2 linked regions of the Saccharomyces cerevisiae S288C genome follow. The protein of the gene in region 2 purifies or fractionates together with the protein of the main gene of each other region. This does not show direct contact. Each region holds a gene or a part of one and is shown on either strand. Other genes may lie near its edges.

Region 1 (3,757 bases), on a different chromosome or scaffold from region 2:
TCTGAGCGTTTGTCCTTGATGTTGTTCGAGCTACCGTTCCTTGAAATGGGCAGGCTTAGTCCATTGTCCATGGCTTTCTTCTTTATATTTGACCTTAAATTAAAAAACATGCCCATTTTTTTGTGTTAATTGGTAGGTCAACAAGCTCAAATGACTGTTACTGCACCCTTACGTCTACTTCTTTCACGTTACCATTTACTAATTTACAAGACGTAAACTTTCTTTGATTCTAAATATTTCAAGCCTTGTTTCGGTATAGTCGCCGAAGAACGAAAAAAAAAAAAAAAAAAAATTCCTCTCCGGAGATAAATTGAATACGTATTATTATATTAGGGACAAACACTGGTTCACTGAAAGCAGTTGTTTACATAGTTATATCGTGATCTGTGGCTATATCTGCAGGAGGAGATGTCGGGGCGTTTTCATTAGGCGTCGAATGAGGAGAGTGACTTGTAGTAGCATCGATATTGGTTGTGTTATGTGCTACAGGTGTAGTATTTGTAGTATCTTGCGCTGTCATTGTTGGCGGTTCCGATTCCGCGACCAGGTTCTCCGCAGGCATACTCGACATTTCATTCTCATCTTCACTGCTCCCTAAGATGCCAAATAAGTTTATGTCATCGTCCTCATCCTCGGCGTTTGTGTTGATAACTATGGTAGAGTTGTTTAATGCATTAGGGGTGGTCGTGTCGTCTGCAGCGTCCCTTGCGTGCTCGTTATTTAGTAGAAGCTCAAGATCATGGCCTTCATCTTGTTCCCTCTTTGTTCGTTGTGAAATAAGCTCTTCTTGCCGACGTTTTAGCGATTTTGCTCTTTCTTCCTTGGCCATTCGTATTTTTTCCTTCTTCAACTTCTGGACCTTAGGTAAATTGTGCATGAATAGTGTCATAGACTTACGAAATTGCAATTCTATGGTTTTTTGTATGGTTTTGTGAGACTGGTGAGGACTCTCTGGAAGGTAGAGAGTTTCAGAAATTTTCAAGAATGGATTTTTTGTTCTTTTCAACTGATTCACTTCAAATTTCGTGACACGTTCTCTCGCCAATTCCACTCTATACTTCGCATACTGCTCGATATTGTTTTCATTGAAGGACTTTTCAGTTATGGTTGGTTTCCTTTCTTCCAGCGCGTTGCCCCAAATCTCCAATTGTTGCTCGATAGCGTCCTCATCGTCTAAACCCGGCGGTTGCGGGGTATTTGACGCTGATGATATGTGGGAGAGACTTTTGTTCAAGTTCAATAGTGCCTTTTCAGACTCTTGGCTTTCTTTTACTATTTCTTTCTTGATGGTTTTTAGATCAGTAATTGGATGGTTGAACTCAGGTGTAAACTTATAGGTATGGTCAGGCGGAAAGTTGGGCAGCCAACTCGGTATCTGTTTTTCCAGTGGGTTAGAGGGAGGCAGCAAAACGTTGATCTCGTTCTGTTGCTCCTCGATATTATTCAATTCGTCCTCTTCATCTTCTTCGTTATGCGGTAAAGCAGCAAGAGACGACCAGCTCATCAATTTTTCATATTCCGTGGAATGCTTCGATTTGATGAATTCTGAGGCCTGAAACTGCTGATAAAGGGAGGGCGCATCCAGGTTAAACTCTCGAAGCAACAATTTCAAATCTGCTTGAGAAGCTTGCGACCTTCTTTGTAAAAGTGTTAAATTGTGCAGGTTCCGAAACATGCCGTCCATTTGGACGGTCACGAGGTTGACCAGCTCATCCAATGCAAAGTTTGAAATGCAGATGTTCAACGAATTCAACTGGAAAAGTACTGTTTTCTTTAGAATTTCAACTACGGGAGCATCTATTTCCAAGTGACTAATTTCCGTCAAATCCGGTAGGTTCCTCAGCTGAACTATGGTACTTTGGGTACCGGTACCACTTTCTGACGTTTTGGAAGTCATTGCCCTTTATGAGTCCCTCAATTACACGTTTGTTTGCTTGCTTGCCTCTCTCTCCATTGCTTTTACTCTCTTTTTTAAAGAGTTCAAGATTTTCTACATAAAAGCATCGGGTAACACTCCCATATACACCATTTGTGCTTAAGCTGGCTTCTACCAGTCGCGTTTCAAGCGACTTTATTGATCGCATCAGCGTAGAACAAGAACAGAACTATGTATGCAAACAGGACTAATCATCTTCAGTTATCTTACTTTAGTTTGCAACTATTTATATCATGTTTTCTTTTCAACTTCTTTTTTTTTTTTTCGTTTATGAAGCCGATGCTAATGCATCAATTTTTTTTTTTTGGTGATGAGTTTTGAAAGAAAATGAAAAAAAAAAAATTTCTATTATTGTCAGTGGAGTTTTTGAACAGATCACCTTGTGAATCTACAAACTGTCCTAAAGTATATTGGAGCAGGACATTGGGTGATGGCGAAAACTTTGGCACAAGGAAGGAAACCTGGAAGCGGCAGAAAGCCCGGAAAAGGGAAGACGTTGAGAGAGGGAAGAAAGCCTGGCAGTGGTAGGAGGAGGAGGCAAGATACTGGGGGTAAAGAGACCGACGGGTCTCAGCAAGATCAGGAGTCGCGTCTTATTAGTTCCAGGGACATGGAAGCTGTGGACGCACTGAGAGAGTTGACGCACAGCCCGTCGTCTCACTCAGCTCATAATTCATCAGCAGCACCACCGCCGCATGCAGCAGCGGCGTCAACTTCATTGCCTCCATCTCTGGATTATACCCATCAGTCATTCATGGATCAACAACAACAACAGCAGCAGCAGCAGCAGCAACAACTACTACAGCAACAGAGAGTGGACGTCGTTCCGCCCAAGCCGTTCATCACCCACAAGATCCTGTTATCTTCAACGGGAAACTCTGGCGGCCACGTGAATTCAAATTACAACGCCGACCACAGCATTAATCATAATTCAAACCACAACCTTAACAGCAACGTGAACGTGAACATGAACTTTACTATAAATGGGAGCAATCAAGACCCGTCATCTTCTTTCCTGATGGGGCCCTACAACTACTTACAGCGGCCTTTCATTGTGAAACCATATCTTGATCTGTCCACAAGCACAGCAGCATCAAATCAGCCACGGACGCAACCATCGCCGGCAGCACATATCACTAAGAATTCCGATTCTACAGAGAAAAACGCAACCATATGACATTCATTTCCAGCATACCACTAAAACATTCGTATATGCCACATAATAACTAGTTGAGAAAACCATAGATATTTATATTTATATGTATTTGTACTTCTTTGAGCAATGTATATTTAAGACTGATCTCAACTTCAGCAACTGTTCAAATTCACTGTTTTTCCTAATTAAGCACAACATGAAAAACTAGAATTTTAGAAAGAAAAGGAAAAAGAATACCAGATGGTAGTTAATTTCTCACAAAAGCACTGCCAGGTAAAGGTATACAGCAAGGATGGACTCTCTTGAAGCTAGATTACAATTCATTCAGGTCCTGAAGAACCTGCAAAAGACGCTGCACAAGACCAGAGACTCTATCACATCATCGTCGACCACCACACCACCGTCATCGCAACAAAAGCTGAACAATGACCCTATACAGTTCTACTTGAGAAACTACAGACATCACTACGAGGACTTCCACCAATGTTTGTTCGATACAACCATGAAGATGGACCCACTAGATAGACTGGACGTAGTGATATACTATGTTAGAATAATAAGAAACTTATATCCGCATAGCCATTCCAATACCAATGTTACAAAAGTGTTAAACGAAGTGCTACTCATGGACATAGACTTGGTTTTTGAGCTTTGTCTGCCCTGCC
Region 2 (3,757 bases):
TTGCAACATTGTTTCCATTGTTTTTTGCAGCTGCTACCTTATCTGATGTGATACTCTGCAATTTCTGGTTATAATTTTGAGAGGGATTCCATTTTCTTGTACTTCTTATTTCGTCTGCGGAATAACCAGGAATCCTAATATTCCAATTTCTCTCCAAATGTAACTGAATGTCTCTTGCCTCCAAATTGTCCGATTTTCTGTGTTTTGCCAATCTACAAGAAAAAGCTGTAACATTAGTAACAAAATCGTCGGCAAGATCCAATAGTAATTCCTCAACATCACCGTCAATGACAGTTTCACCGTCACCCTCATCAATTCCGACAGTCTTCACTAACTCTCTTAATTTACGCTTTGACATAACTCTCTGAGTATCCATTTCATAGGGTGGTAATTTAGTTGTTGCTGGTGTATTCAAAGCACTGGCATTCATAGCAGAACCTCCAGTTATTGTAGGTCTGTTGGATCTATAAGCTACCGGTGCTGGTGTTTTGGTAGATATATTTTCCGATATGGGTATGGCAGGCTCTGTTTGTTTGAATATTGCCGATTTGCTCGAACTTATATTATTCAACATAGATGCCGTTGCATTTACATTGGTTACCTTAGCTTTCGATTGTTCAGTCTGTGAAGTGTTAACATTGCCCCTGGGATTATTGGTGGCAGTTATTGTATTCTGCTGCTGCTGCTGCGATTTCAGTGCATCAGGGCCGGTTACAGAGGGTATTTCAGTAGAATTAGAACTAGAAATCTTTCTTTGGTTTTGACCCTGGCGTTGCTGTTGCTGTTGCTGTTGCTGTTGCTGCTGTTGCTGCTGCTGCTGCTGTTGTTGTTGTTGTTGTTGTACCCTTTGTTGCTGCACTCGTTGCTGTTGAGTGCTTTCTTGCAAGAATTTATGTAAAGCCGGATTGTGTCTTGCACACTCTACATAGAATGTTTTTTTACTGTTTTGATAATTATTGAACAGCTTGGTATACTCAATTTTTAGCACCTTCCAATCGTTAAGCAGTTCAATTTTCTTTTCTTGTAGCTGCTGCTTGGGCCCTTCGTCCGTCTGTTTATTTATTTCTTGTTCTAACCTATCAATATTTTGTTTCAAGTAGGTCTCTTTCTCCTTTATACTCGTATGACGGACTTGGAAATTCTGCCATAGCTTTTCATATTCTTGGTTCTCTTCCGGGGTGAGAACCTGTTTTATCATATTGCTAAATTTGTTACTGTTGTTTCTTGTCTGTTGTTGTTGTTGTTGTTGTTGCTGTGATGAATTAGGGACATTTTCAGTAGGAATAGAAGCTGGATTGCTTGAATTTGAATTTGAAGTATTATTGTAGGCTTGCGCAGCCTGTTGTCTTCTCCTATTCAGTGTAAGGGCATCATATACCTGTTTGATCTTTGCGGCTTGGAACATCAATTCCTTGCCCCTAGGAGTAGTTTCACCTACATTTCTTGCTTCAGTCAGTAATGTCCTGAACTTAGCGGCCATTTCTTGCAACTGTCTCGGTTGCAGTACCATATTTTGCTGAGCTCCTGTGATCGCATCAGCGTTACCAGTGCCCGTATTATTATTCGCATTAACACCAGAATTTTCTGGATTGGAAGACATTGTCGTATTTTATACACACACTGGCAAAGATTCGGTTATGATTCGAATGCTATTGGACAGTCTCCTGTCTTACACTAGCGAACCTATGCGCTATATATGCCCATTATTCATTTGCTCCGACTTAAGTCTAACACATTTTTTAACAAAATTCGCCGCGTATACTGCCCGGGTAATACAGCCAAAATCGTGATATTCATTTGATACGTTTACTTGCAAAGCTGTCATGAATCAAGATTGTACATTTATATACCATAAGGTGCTCTTCATATTCAACAATGCATTTAATTCATCCTCGCTACGCTTACTAGACCCTATTTACTAATTAAGACGGGATTCATACACATCGTTTTGCACGTAGAAAGTTACACGCGTTTTTTTTTTTTTGAAGTTGAAATTTCAGCTACGCATCGAGAAAGTTTATTTGGCAGTTTTCTTTTAAAGTTTTGAACCTGTTTCAATACCTTATTTCCTACCATCTTTCATTATTCAGATAATCACTTTTGGGAGAAATTTGGTTGGCGTCACTCGTTCTTGCTAAGAAATTGTAATTGGCTAAAAGTATCAACGAGAGAACAAGCTTTTGTCGTTATTCGCTTGAGCAAATACGTCAAAAATAAACGAAAAAGAAAGAGCTCTATGAAATTATCTGTCCTCACATTTGTCGTAGATGCATTACTTGTCTGCAGCTCAATAGTAGATGCCGGTGTTACAGATTTTCCATCCTTACCAAGTAATGAAGTCTATGTCAAAATGAATTTTCAGAAGAAATACGGCAGTTCATTTGAAAACGCTTTGGATGATACAAAAGGTAGAACGCGTTTGATGACAAGAGATGATGATTACGAGCTGGTGGAACTGACTAATCAAAACAGTTTTTATTCGGTGGAATTAGATATTGGCACCCCTCCTCAAAAAGTTACTGTGCTTGTCGACACTGGTTCTTCTGATCTATGGGTCACGGGTTCAGACAACCCATACTGTTCCACTAAAAAGAAGGATACCACTGGCTCATCCTTTAAACAAGTAAACAAGGATGCTTTGGCTAGCGTGGTTGAGAGTGTGTTTACTGAAATTAGCTACGACACCACTATAGTTACCAGCGAAGCCACTGCTACTTTTGATAGTACAGCTTCTACATCACAGTTAATTGACTGCGCTACATACGGGACATTTAATACCTCTAAGTCGTCTACATTCAACTCCAATAATACAGAATTTTCGATCGCCTATGGTGATACGACTTTTGCATCTGGTACCTGGGGCCATGATCAATTGAGCTTGAACGATTTGAACATTACGGGTTTATCATTTGCTGTAGCAAACGAAACAAACTCAACAGTTGGTGTCTTGGGTATTGGTTTGCCTGGCTTGGAGTCAACTTATTCTGGTGTTTCTCTCAGCTCTGTACAAAAAAGCTACACTTACAATAACTTTCCGATGGTGCTAAAGAATTCGGGTGTAATAAAATCAACAGCTTATTCTTTATTCGCAAATGATTCTGATTCGAAACATGGTACCATTTTGTTTGGCGCTGTGGATCATGGAAAATATGCGGGCGACCTATACACAATTCCCATCATTAATACTTTGCAGCATCGCGGCTACAAGGATCCAATTCAATTCCAAGTCACTTTACAAGGATTAGGTACGTCGAAAGGGGATAAAGAAGACAATCTGACAACCCTAACCACTACAAAGATCCCAGTCCTGCTAGATTCAGGTACGACCATATCGTATATGCCAACTGAGCTGGTAAAAATGCTTGCCGACCAGGTCGGAGCTACTTACTCTTCTGCATATGGTTACTACATAATGGATTGTATCAAAGAGATGGAAGAAGAGAGTAGCATCATCTTTGATTTTGGTGGATTCTATCTTTCTAATTGGTTAAGCGATTTTCAGCTAGTCACAGATAGTCGTTCAAACATTTGTATACTAGGTATTGCACCGCAGTCAGATCCGACCATTATTTTGGGTGATAACTTCTTAGCTAATACTTACGTGGTATATGATCTGGACAATATGGAGATATCAATGGCTCAGGCTAACTTCAGCGACGACGGTGAATACATTGAGATTATAGAGAGCGCGGTTCCAAGTGCTCTTAAAGCACCTGGTTACTCAAGCACTTGGTCTACATATGAAAGTATTGTCTCC

The links.
Region 1: the proteins of TAF12 (region 2) and TAF8 purify together in Saccharomyces cerevisiae (affinity purification with mass spectrometry; 5 studies listed by BioGRID, with this or other methods). This does not show direct contact.

What each region holds. Positions count from the first base shown.
Region 1 is NC_001145.3:41,679-45,435, forward strand, and holds TAF8 (Taf8p), read right to left. Parts: upstream 1,898-3,757; coding exon 365-1,897; downstream 1-364. Other genes in the region: VAN1 (Van1p), read right to left, coding at 1-116; DAT1 (Dat1p), read left to right, coding at 2,367-3,113; CTK3 (Ctk3p), read left to right, coding at 3,385-3,757. UniProt on the Saccharomyces cerevisiae protein: Functions as a component of the DNA-binding general transcription factor complex TFIID. Binding of TFIID to a promoter (with or without TATA element) is the initial step in pre-initiation complex (PIC) formation.
Region 2 is NC_001136.10:744,581-748,337, reverse strand, and holds the start of TAF12 (Taf12p), read right to left. Parts: upstream 1,601-3,757; coding exon 1-1,600. Other genes in the region: MKC7 (aspartyl protease), read left to right, coding at 2,237-3,757. UniProt on the Saccharomyces cerevisiae protein: Functions as a component of both the DNA-binding general transcription initiation factor complex TFIID and the transcription coactivator SAGA complex.